Linked DNA regions of Schizosaccharomyces pombe. The gene in region 1 interacts genetically with each later gene. Each region holds a gene or a part of one and is shown on either strand. Other genes may lie near its edges. The genes, in order: prp10, iss9, spf31 and uri1.

Evidence for each region.
Region 2: mutations in prp10 (region 1) and iss9 together harm fitness more than expected from each alone (negative genetic interaction), as found in Schizosaccharomyces pombe (one large-scale study listed by BioGRID).
Region 3: mutations in prp10 (region 1) and spf31 together harm fitness more than expected from each alone (negative genetic interaction), as found in Schizosaccharomyces pombe (one large-scale study listed by BioGRID).
Region 4: mutations in prp10 (region 1) and uri1 together harm fitness less than expected from each alone (positive genetic interaction), as found in Schizosaccharomyces pombe (one large-scale study listed by BioGRID).

Annotation. Positions count from the first base shown.
Region 1 is NC_003424.3:4,332,580-4,338,794, forward strand, and holds prp10 (U2 snRNP-associated protein SF3B1), read right to left. Parts: upstream 4,226-6,215; 5' UTR 4,209-4,225; coding exon 4,199-4,208; intron 4,148-4,198; coding exon 4,043-4,147; exon of another isoform or gene 3,977-4,042; coding exon 591-3,976; 3' UTR 556-590; downstream 1-555. Other genes in the region: pdt1 (Nramp family Mn(2+) transporter), read left to right, coding at 1-325; pdp3 (PWWP domain-containing protein), read left to right, coding at 4,669-5,892; DNA replication factor C complex subunit Rfc2, read left to right, coding at 6,163-6,215. UniProt on the Schizosaccharomyces pombe protein: Contacts pre-mRNA on both sides of the branch site early in spliceosome assembly.
Region 2 is NC_003423.3:2,964,564-2,968,313, reverse strand, and holds iss9 (nuclear export factor), read left to right. Parts: upstream 1-1,705; 5' UTR 1,706-1,791; coding exon 1,792-2,439; exon of another isoform or gene 2,440-2,489; coding exon 2,490-2,619; intron 2,620-2,687; coding exon 2,688-3,097; 3' UTR 3,098-3,209; downstream 3,210-3,750. Other genes in the region: origin recognition complex subunit Orc6, read right to left, coding at 107-719, 778-959; bmc1 (Bin3 family regulator), read right to left, coding at 3,239-3,436, 3,479-3,750. UniProt on the Schizosaccharomyces pombe protein: Required for transcription elongation. May also be involved in pre-mRNA splicing.
Region 3 is NC_003423.3:1,068,408-1,072,042, forward strand, and holds spf31 (DNAJ protein Spf31), read right to left. Parts: upstream 1,630-3,635; 5' UTR 1,536-1,629; coding exon 1,485-1,535; intron 1,362-1,484; exon of another isoform or gene 1,282-1,361; coding exon 703-1,281; 3' UTR 554-702; downstream 1-553. Other genes in the region: rhp18 (postreplication repair E3 ubiquitin-protein ligase), read left to right, coding at 1,851-3,014; TRAPP III complex subunit Trs8502, read right to left, coding at 3,164-3,635.
Region 4 is NC_003421.2:324,331-328,955, reverse strand, and holds uri1 (prefoldin-like protein), read left to right. Parts: upstream 1-1,861; coding exon 1,862-2,009; intron 2,010-2,083; coding exon 2,084-4,035; 3' UTR 4,036-4,088; downstream 4,089-4,625. Other genes in the region: DNA-binding transcription factor, CBF1/Su(H)/LAG-1 family Cbf11, read right to left, coding at 1-1,254, 1,333-1,414; dar2 (aspartate--tRNA (Asp) ligase), read right to left, coding at 4,089-4,625.

The DNA.
Region 1 (6,215 bases):
ACGTGCTATTGCAATTATCCCATGCTTAGTTGTTTCGGCTGCTGTTGGACAGAGTGGTCTTAATCAAGTACTGAACGCTAGTCAGGTTTGTCTTTCTATTTTATTACCTTTTCTTACCTTTCCACTTGTAATGTTCACTTGCTCTCGAAAAGTTATGCGTGTTGTTAGTGATTCTACCAATGAAGAAACTGGACAATTGATAAGAGAAACTCACGATTATAGCTTAGGATGGACTATGACTATTGTTACATGGGCAATTTGGCTCTTTTTGACTGCTTTAAATTTATTACTCATTGTTTGGTTGGGCATGGGAGTCTCCTTCTAAATAAATTTTAGAACGCTCGTATTTTTCAAACGGCATGGTTATATGCGTACGTTCCTTTTAACATTTCCCCATAGCTTTCCTTTAATTACTACACTTAGTCCGAAATTTATTTATGTAGCATTTGCAAACCGCGTCAAGTAATTTGCGATGCTCTGTTGAAACCAAAGTTATTAACATGAAGCTGAGACATGTATACAAGTACTATCACAAATGTTTTCATGTACTATTATAATGAATATTTTTTAATAATTAACAAAAAGGGTACTTAGATGCAAATATGTAAAGTTTTCATATCGTAGTTGTTGAATTGATCGTCATCAACGTGGGGATAGTATGGTACCATAGCATCTGCACTTTGTACATAAGCAGAATTGTAGCTTGTCCAATAAGTGTTACGAACTTTACGACTCGGATGAAATAATCCTTGTACTAAATATGCCATAATTGGACCTACACCGATACAATTTCGGATGCCATCAATGCCTTCCCGAACGGCATTGATAACATGGGGCGATTCCTCCAAGATATTTGGCCATAGGATATTAAGTAAATGAATCATTGCGTCTTCAACACCCAAACCAACACAACCAAGAGACAAGTGCTTGATTACAGAAGCGGCGGTTTGCCGATGCACGGCATCGCGATCCATAAGCGCATCGGCTAAAAGAGGTGTAATGGCATAAACATAGTCGCGTGCTTGCTCACCAATGTATTCAAACATAAACGCTAATGACTTTAAAACACCATTCTGCACGTTCATTTCTGGAGTTCTGTAGTCTGCCATAAGTGCTGGTACGACTGTAAAAGGCATACATGTTTCTGCCACGATAGCAATAGCTACAGTAGTACATACACGATTTTGGCGTTCCTGGACTTTGAGATTATTTAACAAAGTAGCCAGCACGTCTTGAGGTCCGATGGCTTTTGATATATAACCAAATGTGTTGACAGCAGCACGGCGAATACTCTTTTTATGTGCTTTAAGCATATCAATTAATTCAAAACAAATACGCATCCATTCCCTAGCGGACACGTATTCCGATCCACGATCTGCAATTTTGCCAACGAGATCAATTGTATTCTCTTGGACCTTTTCATGACGGTTCCTCAAGATGGGAGTCAATCTTGGTAACAAATCACGAATAGGAGGTTGCATTGAAGACATACCAACAACGGAAACAATAGCTTTAATAGCACCAAGAATTGAGCCCAGAACCTCTGGATATTCTTCACCAAGATACTCGTACAAAACAACACCAAGTTTACGCATTAATGCTTCTTCACCACATGCCTTTAAAACAATGGTTATACTGGAAACTAAGTCGGCAGCTTGTTCGCGGACATTAGCAGACTTATTGTTTAAACGATACAATATAGTAGAAACGATCTGAGGAAGATACGGCTTACATCTTGTACCAAGAGCATTAACAACAGTACTAAAGCAAGTTAAAATAACTTTCTCCTCAACGGATTGCTCCTGAAAAGCAAATAAAACACCATCCAACAGTAGCTCTTCCAATCTTTCGTCAATCTCGGAAACACCTAAAGAGCCAATCACTTTATCGACAGTTTCAGCGGTCATCTTCCGATATGGCTCGGATTCATCTTTAAAGTTGTTGACGACCCTTTCAACAATTTGACGGGAACCTACTTGTTGAGCAAGAACAACTGTAGTTTCAACAACTTGCTTGTAGCTGCGACGATCTGATGCCATCCTTCGGGACCAAAAACAGTGAAAAAATTCAGGCAACACATCAGTTCTCAAATACTCAGGTGTTACTCCATCAGTAGATGCACATTGTGATACAACTTTGAGAACTATCTTTTTCATTTCTTCGTCTGGTGAATTAAATTCACGTAGAAGAATTTTCATGATACGCCGTGTAAAATGACTTGCATACTCAGGTTCCATAAGAGGGATAATAAAACCGGTTGCTTTTAAAAAGGCGGCTAAGCTTTTACCACGATGCCTTTGGACTCCTGACCATAATGGCTTTAAAACGCTGTCAAAAGCTTCAATACCGTAAGGAGTAGCAGCTTCAGCTAAAGCCGATAAGGACAAAGCTGTCATAATTCGTACTTTTTGTTGTTCATCTTCAAGGCCGTGACCAATACAATCAACTAAATTTTTTAAGTGTGGTAAAATAGAGCATCCTAATAACAGAGCAATCTGTTGAATAATCCGAACGCCAGTATGCCTGGCTTGCCATGATTTCTTACTTCTACAAACAGCTTTTAAAAAAGGTAAAAGAGCCGGCACGCCTAGTGCAGAGGCAACAACCGAAAAGGCACGGGCTGTGGTGTTTCGGACATATTCGTCGACATGATCAATGTCAGGTCTCATTGTAGCAATCATATGAGCCAAGCCGGAAGCTTTAGCTAAGTTACTAATGATTTCCCGACCTTCAGCACGTGCATAGTAATCTTCATCAATAAGAAGGGGTTCAATAACTACGAGAATTTTATGAGTAAAAGGGCGAACCAGATCATCCAATTTGTATAATATACGATCAATAACCTTAACTAAAAGATGGCGCTCCTGATCTTCCAGTGTTCGTTCCATTAACAACGGAAGAATCTGATTAAATAAAGCAGCTGCACCAAAGTCGCGAGCTTGATCCGTAAGCTGGCGTAATGCACTCTTACGCATGGGAGGAGTACCATTTTTTACTTTCAGAAGTAATCTCAAAATTTTACGTTCACGAAGTTCCGCAATTGTAAGCTTGGCCTCGTCCTCCACCTTGAGTAACTTGCCAAAATATTTAACATCTTCTTGCTTAAAAAAAGCTAAATCACCTACACCGGGTATTTCTGTAGGCAATGCAGCTGGTAATTCTTTTTCTAAAGGAAGCTCTTGCTCTTGTGGAACGTGATATGTATCGAGCGTAGTACCTTTTTGAAGTAGTTCAGGATGAATTGATTCTAAATATCCAGGAGGAGGCTCCAAAATAGCATAGCCTTCTGACGGCAAAAGCTCATTTAACTCTTCTTCAGTTAATAAACGGACAGGAGGTCGTAATTTTTCTTCTACTACATTTACTTCCTTATTAATAAGATCTTCAGAAATTCCGTTTTCTATAACATGTTCAGATATAGTGAAGTTTTCAGGAGCTTTGTCCCAACGTGATCTACGCTTAGTAGTGGAAACCTGCGTAACGCTAGGTGGAGCCTGATCCCAACGAGAGCGTTTAGGCTTCTGAGATATTTCCGTATTATTAAGCTCTAGTTCTCTTTTTTTGTCCGATATGCTTTCCTCCTCCTCCACCTCTTTTAGTGTTCCTTCACGACGTCTTTGATTTAATTCCATATGAACTCGTCGCTCTTCCTTTTCTAATTCAACCTGCCGCATAACCTCCGCATAAGATCTTCCATTGCTCTGTGTCCCATCAGGTTGAAAAGCATCTACGCGGGTTGGAGTAAGCTGTCTATCATAACGCTGCTTTTGATAATCTGACTCGCGATCCTGAATTTGCTTTTTTGACTGTCTCTCTTGCATAGGGTCATAACTTTCATCAGCGTATTCATTTAGTAGTTCCTTAGGTGCTTCATATTGACGCACTAAACGATAACTATCATTAACATCGTTTGTACGTTTATAATCGTCTTCATCCTGAGAGATATCATTGCGCACGTCAATTGCGGAGTCATATTCTTCTTTTGGGTTACTGGACTTAAAAAGATGAGCATTATATTGTAAATCATTAGAATCCTGGGTACCTTCAATATTTACACTTCCATTTGTCGACGAATTCTTCGCTGCCTCTTTTTGTCTTCGCAAAAGTTCTCTTTCAGCACGAAGCCTTTCTATTTCCACATCTTCTACTTTATTTAGGTTAGTAACATCCATTTTGAACATTTTATAAGGATACGTACCAGTTGACATGTTGATGGCGAAGAAATGCTTTCATGTTGCGCGTCTTATACTCATTTAAATATACTCAAAGCATTCTAAGCTTCGTTATCAATATTTTAAAGTACAATACAGTAACTCGTTTTGTAGAATAACGATAAGATTAACGTGTCTTATTTAGTTTAACCCTCTTTATTAAGATTTATTTGCGAAAGAAATATATACTATCGAAAAAATTAGTATGAGGAATGATATTGAAATATCGAGGTATCATATTGCAACAGCTCAAGCTTTTAGCACCCCCCCCCTCTGCTATTGTAGATCTTGTAAGCGTTGCTGCAATTAATTGATAATAGACAAGCGTCTTACGGTTTCTACTTGTATATCCTAATATTTGGTGGAACCTTTACAAATTGATGTAAAATCTCTTTGGAAAAATTCAGCACTATATCGCTTTAATGTGAAGTTTGGCTTATAAGGAATGTAATTAACGATGATGGTTGCTAGGACACGCAGTCAAAAAAGAAAGCTTGAAGAGATTAATAACCAGAAGAAGATTAAAACAAAAAAAAAGGCCACCGGGCAACAGACTTCTAATACGAAAAATCTGCGTGATGTTAAAAAGAAAGGTAAACAATTAGCGTATGTTCCGAGGACGTCACCAAGGAAATCATATAAAAATGGGGAATATGTTTTAGCAAAGATGAGTAGCTTCCCATGGTGGCCAGCCAGAGTAGCGAGCCAAAAATCAATACCCACTGAGGTACGCGAACGATTGAAACGAAATTTTCGAATGGACAATGGAATATTTGTTCAGTTTCTTCCTTCAAGAGATTACGCTATTATTTCTTCTTCAAATGTTTTGCCCTTAACTGTTGATGAATCAAGGTTTATTTTGGACCATGATTTATCGACAAAGTATATCCAAAAGACGGTAGGTCTCATCATTGCTTCCGTAAAGAGAAAAGTTTCTTTTTCTGATGTCGAAGAGGATGAGTTTGAACCAGAGAATACTCGTAAAAAACTTCAAAAGCCCATCGAGAAACCAAAAAAGGAAAAGATAGAAGCCACACCTAAAATTGACGGGGGTAAAAGGTTAAAAAATGAGAAATCGTCGGCAGAAATTTCTCAAACATCGAAGCAACGACCTTCACGTAGGTCAGCTCGAGTTAGGATGGCTACAGACAACGCTCAGAAATCCCCATCTCCAATTCCTTCTCCCAAGAAAACAGCCAAAAAAAGAGTAAGGTTTGCCGGTTCTTTAGAGGAATTACCAAAATTTTCACTTGAATATCAATTGGCTCAGCCTATAAGTACTGTAGATATGTATGCTCAAGTTCATTATATTCGATTTAATACTCTTTTATATTACCGCTACCAACTACAAGAAATCCTACTGTCATATAATCATTATCCTCAAGAATCGGATATGTCTCATGTGCACCAAATATTGGAGATGATTGAGAATTTCAGCGCAATAAATTCTGAACTATTAGAATCAACCAAGTTGTATTCACTTTTTACTTTGCTTGTTAAATTAAGCGACATACCGTTGGATGAAAAATATGACTTTTCTTCACGATTTTCGACTCTTCTCCTTCAATTCCAAGCATTCGTTCAGCCCAAAACCATGACAAGTAATGTATCTACAGCGCCCATTGGAAAGAATGCTCAAGTGAACACAGAAGCTGCCAGACCATCTGTCATCACTACCTAACTTTTGATCATACATTCATATGCTTTTGTTATCGAATTACATAACTAATCTTGTTTACATTTAATGTTACGATAATATTTGCTTCCAACATTTTCATTAATATAGAACGCATTATTAGCGCGACTCAATGTGTTTATGGTACAAATCGTTACAATACGTTATCCTAGTATGTAAGCAAGAACAAGCATTGCTTACTACCATTTCGTAGTAGGTACCGTCAGTGTTTTTTTTTTTTACTTGCGATATCTCGTGTATACTAATTTAAAAAAAATGTCTTTCTTTGCTCCAAGGAATAAGAAAACGGAGCAGGAAGCAAAGAAATC
Region 2 (3,750 bases), on another chromosome or scaffold:
TTAACTTTTTTTTACTCATGTATTTGTATATATCACTAAAGATATCGTGTACCCGTTTATAAATGTTGTTTAATGTACAAAAAAAAATTAATATAGTAAATTGTATTCATGAAGCAGTACCATCTTTTTCAAGCTGGCTTTTGTAATATTGGATTCTTTCTTCAATGCAGGCCTTCCATATTGGATAATTTTGAAGTCGTTTTTCGTAATCTATTTGAATCATGCTTGCTATCCCACTCCAAGGTTTTATCCGTTGCTTTTGAGATTCATAACCCTCTATACCATTTAAAGGGATTTCTTTATACTGCCAACTTTCTGAGAGGACATGCATCCAATACTGAATTTGCAATGCAGAACTTGTATCCTGTAAAACACTCTGTGCCTTTCTTCTCTCGGTGTGATTTATATGAAGTTCGTCTTTTCCAAAAGCTTTTGCCGATACTAGTAAATAAGCTGCGATTATGATGCCTCTTTTGTGTTCGATGCGCATGTCGTTTGTAACAACGGCTTTCACCAATTGTTTAACATAAGGTATAGCAGTTGAGCCCCCTAGTTTGGTACAAAGATAAGTAATGGTTTCCATCAGATCATCTTTAGCTGCTAAGGATTTAGTTAATGGAGATAAGATTTCTTGAAAGTAAGTGAAAAGTTTATAGTATTTCTTTTTTGGAATTGGAGTCGCTAGTAAATTTATTTCCAAATTTAAATCATTGGATAATCTTTTTAAAGAGTCAGAACAAGTTCAAGTAGAGTAATTAAACATCAGAAGTTACTTACAGTTCACAAGCTAAGTGCGCTGCCATATAAGGACGGCATAACTCTTCTGTCGCCTTTAGATTATGTTTATATTTGGACCATTCCAAAAATGACTCTCCTAAACTAATAAGCCGTTCATTATATTCTGTACTTTCAGTGGGAATTATTCTGCGTAAAGACTCTATAATCTGTTGTCGCTCCATGAGAAAATGAATATATTTAATAAAACTTTTATCATTTAATTTTGATTATTAATTATTGAAATCATGTAATCATTCATAATATCATAATAGTGGTGAACGCTTAGTTTGTTTTATGTCAATATGGTGTTTAATACAGAGACATTTAAACGATGTTTTTAATGCTGCTAATACTACCAGCTGTTTCAAAAATATAAAATCTATCTACTTGATGCACCACTGAATTTGGTGTTTATATTCCGTACTTATTTAATATGACTCTTGCTTAATCATTCCGGTTGCTAGTTATCTTAAATAATGTCACCAAAAGCTTAGAATTTAGACCTACATTCTTCAAGATATTACTACAAAACTTTCGAAGCAGTCTTCAAATTTTTTTTTATTTAATAATGAATTACGATTGCTTTATTGGGAGGTAGTGTTTTAGGCTTGATAATTCGGTATATTACTCTCTTTTAGTAGTTTAATCAAGGCTATATGAGGCATACAGAATAAAATATGCGTGAATAGCGTGAGTTAATATTAACTACTTTCCATGTTGGTTTCATAAATTTTAAGCGAACAAACAAGTTTAGGTGGAACCGTTGAATTATTTGATGACTTTTTAAATTTTTAAAGGAAAAAATGATGAACGATCAACTGAATAGTAATAAATTAATCCTTATTGATTGAAAGGTTGGATAATGAAATCGACTTACAACGTTACTGACAGGGTTAAGCTGACGGACTCGCACTTCTCATACAATCTCGGTACTCACCACTTTAGCAATTGAGGAAGTTGAGAAAAGTACTTAACTTTAGCATTAATCATATAGCTCAATGAAAAATATTAAATATGAAAAAAGAACATCATAGCCCTTGGCCGGACTCTTTGAAAGAATTTATTGGTAGATGCATCCAAGACGCTGAGGAAAACAGCCAGCCAGAATTAGAGGATGAAGTAAAATTGCTAATTTCTCGTCAATACGAAATGGGAAACATATGGAATGTTGATTGGTCTTCTATGAATTTAGAATCCCTAAGGAAACTGACAAATGCTCAAAATACAATCATCGAAGATAAAAAAAGAAAGGTTGAGAAGCCTGTTTCTGGAAATCAATTTTCACTTTTAAGTGAAGAAGATGAAGTGGATAAGAAAGAAAAAAGAAGAAGAAGGTTTGAAAATGGTTCTCGTTCTCAAAATAACGCTAAATCTGAAGAGCTAAAAGTCAACCCGGAGAATGGTGCTATTATAGGACGGTCCACAGAATTAGAGAAAAGGTATTTGCGATTAACTTCGGCTCCTGATCCGGATACTGTTCGACCCCTTCCAGTTCTTAAGCAAACTCTCGAACTTTTAAAGAAGAAATGGAAAGAAGAGAAAAACTATGCATATATATGCGATCAATTTAAAAGTTTAAGACAGGATTTAACTGTGCAAAGGATTCAAAATGAGTTTTCTGTATTAGTTTACGAAATACATGCTCGTATAGCTCTTGAAAAGGTACGGTTAATTACTTTAAAATATCATTTCTTCTTCTAACGTTCGACTAGGGTGATGTTGGCGAGTATAACCAATGTCAAACTCAATTATTTCATCTTTACAGTTTTGGTATACCAGGGAATACTAAGGAATTTTTAGCATATCGTATTCTGTATATGCTCTTCACTAAAAATCGATCTGGTAAGTTAATTACGGCTTACTGCTTAAAAGAATATATCTTTTGAATTCAAATTATTAACAATTTATAGAAATGAATAGCCTTCTCGCCAATCTAAAAGAAGAAGACAAAACAAACGCTGCTGTTACACATGCATTAGAAGTCCGTTCGGCGATGGCTACTGGCGATTACTATAAATTTTTCCATCTATATTTAGTCGCTCCCAACATGGGAGGTTATTTGATGGATCTTTTTATTGAGAGAGAACGAGTGCAGGCGATGATAATGATGTGCAAAGCATATCGCCCTTCTCTTACAATGGAATTTTTGGCTAACACACTAGCATTTGAAGAAATGGAAGATTGTGTAAACTTTTTTAGGAGTTGTAATGCTGTATACGATTCAAAAGATCCCAATCGCATACTGATGAAAGAAAGCACGGATAGATTCGAAAAATGCATGAAAAAGCATGCTGTGGTTGATATTAAAGGCCAAATCTAATAATAAAACTACTTCATTCCGCTTTTCTTTCTTTCCTCATATGTTGAATTAGAGAATTTAATAAAAAATGAGACACGTCCTTTTGGGACATTATGCTTTATAGTTCCAGTCATTGTCTATTCTTAACGTTTTACTAGACAATTAAGTAGAAGTTAATAGTTTTATGATTCCAATTCCTTTTTTTTTATAGATATACATTGTTCGTTTGGCAAAATTCTTGTACTCAGAGTTATTTACTTGAGGTTCGATACTGTATTCAAGCACTAGTCCTGCTTGATTAAGCAAATGTTCAAACGCATCAGGTTGGATTTTGAGGTTCTCAGGTGTTTGATTAAAAACCTAGAAAAGTAAGAGTTAGAAGTATTGATAGTCGTGACTTACAGATATTTTTTTTGCAGCTTTCAAGTACGAGTCCCATCCTTGAGGTTCTAAAATAAGAACACCATTCGTTTCCAATAAAGAACTAATCTTCCCAAAGAATTTAATGATTCCTTCATCGTGGTTATTTAGATGCACCCATTTAGATACGGATAATGCTAGTATTATTTTGAATTTTCGTTTCGATTCCCAGCGCAAGAAGTCAGCGGTCTCAAATTCTATATTGTGAGGGAAATTTTGCTTATTGAGAGGTGGTTGAAGTTGCACTGGTATCC
Region 3 (3,635 bases), on another chromosome or scaffold:
TCCTGAGCACAGTAACCATGTTTTACAGTCCTCTCTCTTCTTTATTTAAATCGCTGCCCCTTTTCACTTACATATATAATGATGGTCGCGTTTTTTCTTTATTCTTATTTCTTTTTATCTCTTTTAAACATATGATCAAGACATAATTAGTAATTTTAGTGTTATTCTGCCCTCTTTTTTTTAACTTGGTATACGAACTCATAATGGGATGCACGTTAGGATGATGCTTGTTTCTTCAGTTGGTGCGCTTTAATGCTATGCCAGGAAAAAAAGGAAGCTCTTGGTCTTATTCTCTCTTTAAGGACTTTTTCCTCCAAAAAGCCTTGTACATACAAACATCTTTAGTTTGTTGTTTATTCGACAGTGGGTAGGGCAATCATTCTCTTTCTTTACATGCACCCATTAGGAATATATGCCATAGAACGCTGTAAATATACAAAGCAGTTACCATGGTTAAACGGCATTCATATTAATTCTATTACGATACTGATACATATCACTGTCGAAAAGCAAATTTCAGTAGAATTTGTTGATTAGTTTACTTAATGGTAATCTGCTCACGTAGCATGAAAAGAAATTTCAATTTATAAATTGTTGAAAACTTCATATTAAATCATTTCAATCGCATAGGTCATGTACAAATACTAAAAGAGGTTAAGTCGTCGAAGCTTTAATGTACAATAAAACGCGTAACTTCGTCTTTTATCCAAGAACCCTTGGTTTTTTATTCTTCTTTTTTAAGTTATTTTTCTTCGTTTTGTGAAGGAAATCCTGCCAATTTCCCACACGATTATCTCTTGTCTCTTCCCAAACCTTTTCTGATTCTACACGACGCTTTCGTTCTCTTGCAATTTCATCTTGACGCGCTTGTTCTCTTTGCTGGTTTGCTAAATCGAGCTGCCGTGCTCGTCTTCTTGCAACTTCATCTGCAATAAGGATTTCACGCCAACGTACTTTTAAATCAAATAAAAACTGGTCTGAATGGACGTCTTCCGAATTTGGAGACAATTTTTTTTCTTTCAATAGTTGGTTCCTTGCAGCTGTGTAAGCCGAATCAAGAGATTCCCGAATCTTATCATTAACTAGATCAGACTCCGCCTTTTTTAAAATGTCGAATGCGTCTGCAGCTTTTGGGTTATCGCGATTTTTGTCTGGATGAATCATTAATGATTTTTTCCTGTACAAATTTCGAATATCATCAACACTCATTCCTGGCAAAATATCAAGAACATCATATGCATTTAATTTAAAGGAAGACAATATTCTGTCAATCTCACGTCCCTAAGTAAAGGTTAGAATTCATCGACTTTGTTTGATTAGCAAGTAATATACGCATAGGCAAAGTTATTCTATTGTTTCATTGTAGTATATAATCTGTATAAACAAAAAAAAAAAAAATTCTGAGAATAAGATAAATCGAATCAACCTACTAAGGTACATCTAGAAATCTTCACATGCAATGTCAATAAAATGCTAAAACTTACTCTGTTTAAACTTCCTTCAACTCGATCTAAAAACTTTGCAACGTCTGCCATTTCTGACCGAGCCCCAAAATTGAAATTACAAGAGTGCAAATTTCAAAAATCCTTTATAGATAAATTTGGTGGTGAGTTAGGTTTTGCATTCGCCAACTTCTGGTATCGAGGGTAAGAATCTGTAAGTACGTTTAGAAACAGGTTCTTTACATTTGTTCTTTAAATGTAATAATGTATATGAATATACATATTCATTTACATATCGATGTGTCTAAGGTTTAAAAATTTACCGTCCGAGAGTGCTCTTACGAATCCCTAATTAAGTTTGAATATTAGTGCATATTAACTATTAATGGGTTTGCAATTTAAAATAAGATGAATGAACTAGATGCTACAGATCCATCTGATTGGAACCAAACGAAAATACCATCGTTGAAGGGCTTGGATTCTTCTTTACGATGTCTGATTTGTCATGAATACTTTCGCGCCCCCTTAATTACTTCTTGCTCACACACCTTTTGTTCGTTTTGTATACGCGATTATCTGAGAGAACATCCTATGTGCCCTGCTTGTCGTGCTCCTGAGCAAGAAAGCCGCTTAAGAAAAAACACTATATTAGAAGAGATTTTAGAGTCCTTTAAAGTGATCAGGCCAACATTGTTTGAATTCTTAAAAGTAGAAAATGTGCCAAAGCCAGTACTTCAAGCTCCTGAAACAGTTATCGCACAGGATTCAGCTTCTGGCGATGAGGAATGGGAAGACGACTTGGCTTCAAATTCATCTCCTGCTTCTATAGCTAAAAAGACATCTAGGGATTCTAAAAAGAGGAAACGTGAGGATTTAGTTCACTGCCCTGCATGTTCAAATTTAGTTCCTCATAATCAAATTAATCAACACTTGGATTCTTGTCTTAACTCACCTTCTTCCCCGTCTTCCTCTTCCTCACCTTATAAAAATAAGGATAATAGTAAATCTAATTCATTACTATCATTCAAAACAGATGATGATTCTATCACGAAGCGCAGGTTAAGGTCGTTTAACTCTGCAGATGAACTACCCTTGAAAGATCGAGTGCGGCTTCCCAAACTAACTTATGCACTCCTTTCCGAATCAAAAATTCGTTCCAAATTATCAGAGATGGGGCTTCCAACCGATGGACATAAACAACTATTACAACGTCGACATGCTAAATGGGTTACCCTTTACAATTCTAATTTAGACCAGAAACAACCTGTTTCAAAAAGAAATTTAATTCGCCAACTTATAGATTGGGAGCGCGTTCAGTCGAAATCAATTGGAGTAGAAAAAGAAAAACTAGGAGGGGGCGATTGGGAGAAGGCATACGCTGAGGATTTTGCTGATCTCATCAACCGTGCAAAACAATCAACAACTAACAAAAATGATTCATTGAGGAACACTGCTGTTGAATCTTCCACCGAACCTTCTACATCTAACGGTTTTCCTGCCACTTCAGTTAGTCCCCCTCTTACTATTGACCTTACCAATTCACAAACGGGATCCGATGGACCACAGTCCTAATCATTAATTTTCGTTGGATTCGTTTTAACGAATTTTCATTATCAGATTAACTTATTAGTTTATTTCGCTATATATAATCACATTAATAACCTGTAGAAATTTTGATATTTGGTAAATAAAATAATATACATTTTGAAAGTGGGGCATTTCTAGCTAGAAGGAATATTAGAAGCAGGTTGTTTGGAGACTTCGACTTCGTCAAGTGCTGCAACACACTCCTTCAAATCCTTCCAATCGATTTTTCCATAAAACAATTTTGCTTCCTCTACAAAAGGCTTGGCACGAAAGGGAATGCGACATCTCAACCAAGCATCGGCAGTTAATACACACCAAAGTGCGGCTTTACGAGTTCGCTTATTAGAGAACGGGTCCGTAGATTCAGTTTTTAAATAAGAAAGGGATTTAAAGAGAGTGTGAGTTTGTTGAAAGATCATTGCTCTTCCTACAGGACCCAATCTCTTAGAATAAAGCAAACCTGCATTCCAGTTAGCAGCATCGTCCACTTTTGGAGCTGGTAAACAACTAAGGAATTGTCCCAGGAGAAGGAAACAGCGCGCAGCATGATAATAGGAATTGAAGGATTTATTCAAATAATTTAACATAGCAGATTGCATATACTCG
Region 4 (4,625 bases), on another chromosome or scaffold:
AACGGACTGAAATATTATTGGAATATGCCAGTGAACTATGCTCAGCGATCTTAAGATGCCGTACGTTTGATATGGGATATGCGCTTTCTAATACAATTCTATGCATTTGATTAACGTAACCGTCCTCCTCAGCAATGTGGTCTTTTTCTACTCGTCGAATAATTAAAGGGTCACTCGTCGTTCCTGTTGCTTCATCGACCAATTCAACGATGGAGCCATATTTAATGGGTTCTGGGTTATCGACATCGTCGCATACCTTCAGTTTACCATTTTCATCTGGTAATAGCAGGTTAATACGCAATGGCACCCATCTATCACCGCGAAGACAAAACTGACCAGCCTCAATCGATGTATACTTTGTACGTACAGTTTGTGAATTAATCCGGTTATAAAGGCTGACGACTGAACCGGATCGCAACGTAATATTACTAATTTTTAGTTTGCTTCCTTTTTTCGAAGGTTTGGAGACAATACTAATAGAAGAAGTAACCAAATGAGATAACAATTGGTTATTTACATTCGAGAACATGTCCAGAGAAAGCCGTAAGTTTTTAGATTTCGCAGCGACCAAACTCGATATATGCAGTGACCGAAAAATCATACATCCTTGGCCAGTGTATTCTTCGCTGATGGGTTGCGAACATTGCCCAAAATCATTCATTATTGATATCTCAGTGCGAAAAGACTGATTGAATATAGAAGAGTAATTCCCATTAATATAAACCATAGGGGGTGGACATAGGTAACGTTTCTCTGACCCATAAGACTTTTGTATGACAGAGGAATGTCGACACGAAACTGTTACCAGCTGACTAGGTTTCCCTGAACGTGTAAGTGAAATTTTGTGCACACTGTCCTCATTCAAATTAGCAATGCCAATACAACAATTGTTCAGTAAATCCAAATGATCTGATATGGCTCTTCGGATCATCTCTACAGAACTGTCTTCATCAAAGGTTTTTCTTTTTCTATTAAACCCAGGAGGAGAAGGAGCAGGAATTATGTTTTGGGCCAGCTCGTCCAACGAATTAGACGCCTTTGCTACAGCAGGAAAAATTGACTGTTCATCCTTAACTACAGAAGGGAATTCCTCTGATTTTTCCAAAGTAGCCAAAGCTGAGTTTACAGCACTGAAGAGAGACAAAACCTGCATGGAAACACTTCCAGGACTCCCGCTTCCAACTCTTTCAGAATTTTCATTCCTTCCTCCAGCTCCATCCTCCTGATTATGCAAACCATTATTTATGTTGTCCACTAGAAAAATCCGTTAGCTATTTTACGCTTGGGATGTTCAGAATGATTTATAACTCAACCATCATTGCTAGCGCTTACAGTTCAACTGATTTAAATTTAAGGAGCCAGAAGTATTACTCCCAGAGATATTTGCAAAATCCCAGGCAAAATAGTCCCCCATTAATGTTCAAATTATGTTTTATACTTGCTTAAACTGTTGGACCTATAGGATTAAGACATGCATTTGCTTTTACTTAAATTATTTTCAGTGAGAAAATATTAAAATTTAAAGTAAGGGACCAAATTACTAGATGCTTAGGACATTTGCAGTATGGCGCTTTCTACGTACATTAGGGTCAGGTCGGTGGCTTCCTACTCAGTTTGAGCCATTTCCATTAACATCGATTTTTCGATATTATATTAGTTACCCTGTTATTTAAATACTAAAAGTATTTAAAATTTATTAGAATTACTTATTATCTCGTTTTTAAAGTGAATATTAGCTTGCCCGAATAAGCTGTATATGCCTTTTTCCGGAATAACCACGAAACGATCGTTGGCGTGAGATTATTTTGAATTAGAAATTCTTCAATAACTCTATTTAAGATCCTTTAAAACAACTTATCGAATGAACGACGAAAGACTAGTAGCCATCAATTTTGAACAGCAAATCTTCTCTAAGATTAGCGAAATTTCTGAATCAGTCGGTAGGGCGATCCGTTACTGTAAGGAAGATGGAAAAGTTGAAGGATGTGAAACAGCATCCCATGTGGATTGTACGTTACTTTTTCTTATAAATTGAGTGATAATGTTTGCTTCATCAAACGACTAATTGCTAATGAAAATCCAGTCTTAAATCATATTCATTTACTTTTGGGAAATTACAATAATGACTTAGCATCTTCAATTGAAAAGAAGAAATCCGAGTTGATAGTAAGAAACTCAGAAGGGTTACCTGTTATGGATATTCATGAAGAAGTTGATAAAGATGGAAATATTATAAGTGCTTCTGTTGCTCCACAAAGAATTTCATCTGTAATAGATTATGCGGATGTCTTTCGATCCCTTCCTGGTTTCAAAAATATTGAAAATGGGGGGAACCGTGATACATCTTCGAGAATTGAAGAGCTATCTGAAGAAGAAATTAACGATTCTACGAAAAATATTAACTACAAAGCTCCAGAAATGGGCTCATTACCTTCTAATACTGAATTTACTTCAACTCCAACACTTGGTGTCTCAGAATTTCCCAGCAAACATGGTGATCATTCAGACAGTAAAACATATGAGAGTCCTATTAGTAATAGTCAGGCTGCTTCATTGAGTGATTCAGATATGGTTCAACAAATTAAAAATGGTAGCAAGACTTCTTTGTTTAAAAAGGGTTTTCTTTTCAAAAAAAATAATGCAATGCAAAACAGAACTACTTCAAATATAAAGTCAAACGCTTCTGCTATTGAAAAAAATAAAGAAACGATATTGAATGCTCTCAATAACTCTACTTTAAATGAAAATGGACATCAAGATACCCAAAATGAAGTTTTACGAGACATTGTGTTAGAGCATCCGACAGCGAAGGCCCAAGATACTGGGGAATCTAATAAAGATAATAACACTAGCACGTCTAAACATAAAAAACGACCTAAGCGTCTTTCAAAATTTAAACAAGCTAAGCTAGAAACAAAAAAATCTGGCAACAAAGATCATGCTACATCTAGTGAAAAGCTTTCACTAGGAAATGAATCTATTCATTCTATAAACGAAACTAGAAGTAGTAGTATAGAAGAACCAGATAATGCCGACAATAAAATTGTCGAAGAAGAACCGATGTTACTACCAGTTCCGACGACTGCGCAAGGACAAAATGTTTTGGAAGCAGTACAATACGACGGTTTAGACTCTTTAGAAGATATGGAGGCTCTCATTCAGGAAATGGAGGAGGAAGGCGAATTAGATGATAATTCTGAGTCTGAGGAAGATGAACATGGTATGACGATAGGATTTTCCAAGGAACTGAAAGCTCCACCGGATCCTCAATATTTTACAGAAAAGACTGGTGCTACAACTTATGTCAATGGTAATGACGAGAGCCTAAATGTCAGTGACTTTCCACAAATCGTTGAACAAGAAGAGCTTTCGTCAAAAAATCCTCGAAAGGTACATTTTTCAGACACGCTGGAAATTAAACACGTCAGTCGGAGTGGAAAGGCGAATATTGAAGTTATACCTGCTCCAACTGAAGAATACGATAATCTTTTTGGACCAGACGATTTTCAGAGTCGTATTTCAGCGTTTCGTAAAGCAAGGAGCAAATTGCGCGCAAAGGAAAACGAAGAGGGCAACCATTCTAATGCCACATGTACAATCAAGAACGATGATTTGAGTAACACATTAAATAATCGGGCTGCGAATACAAAGTTAAATCCAAAAGAAGAAGACAAATCTACTGTAGAATCCGAGCTTAAAGCACCGCCTAAAGAAAAAAGCTCGGAAACTTCCAAGGAATATTTAAATGAACCATCTGTAGTAAAAGATTTTGTAGTTGAACGAACTCCATCTGACAAAATTAGCGAGTCTAAAGAAGCATTCGATGCGAAAGTCGAGGAAATTAGTGATCAACGAGCTATATCACAACGTTACTACGAACTGAGAAAAAAAATGATAGATAATACAGGTGAATATATTAAGGATGAAGAAGAACAGGCAGTTATACCTTTGGATGAGAATGGAAATGAAAAACCTAAAATGAGCCGATTTATGACCGCGAGGTTGCGTGGTCGTGTTCCCATTTATGAGCATTAGATTAAAATTTTGTATAAAAAAAATTAAATGATTAATGTTTTTGCTTAAGTTATCTAATTACGGTTTTGAGTTTGTCGCGTAATAGCAACGTTGTAGTCTTTCAACATCTCTTCTGGAATAGCAGACGGGCTGCCAATTAAAAGATCAGCACCCGAAGAGGTTTTCGGAAAAGCAATGACCTCGCGAATTCCTGGAGCATTCGTCAACAGCGCAGCCAGCCTGTCAAAACCCAATGCAATTCCACCATGCGGTGGACAGCCACTAGACAATACGCGTATTAAATGCTCAAATGTAGCATACCTATTCTCTGGTAATTTAAGCACGTCTTTAAGCACAAATCTTTGAATATCTGGATTGTGTATGCGAATACTGCCACCCCCTAATTCAATACCATTCACGACTATATCATAATGAAGTCCACGAACAGAAAGAGGCTTTTTTTCCAGTAAATGTACATCATCCCAATGAGGAGCAGTAAATGGGTGATGTGTAGATGTAATAGATTGATTTTTCTCTTCGGTTGGTGAGAAAAGAGGAAAATCCACGACCCAAACGAATTTTAATAAATCCTTGTCCAGCTCTGGTAAAGC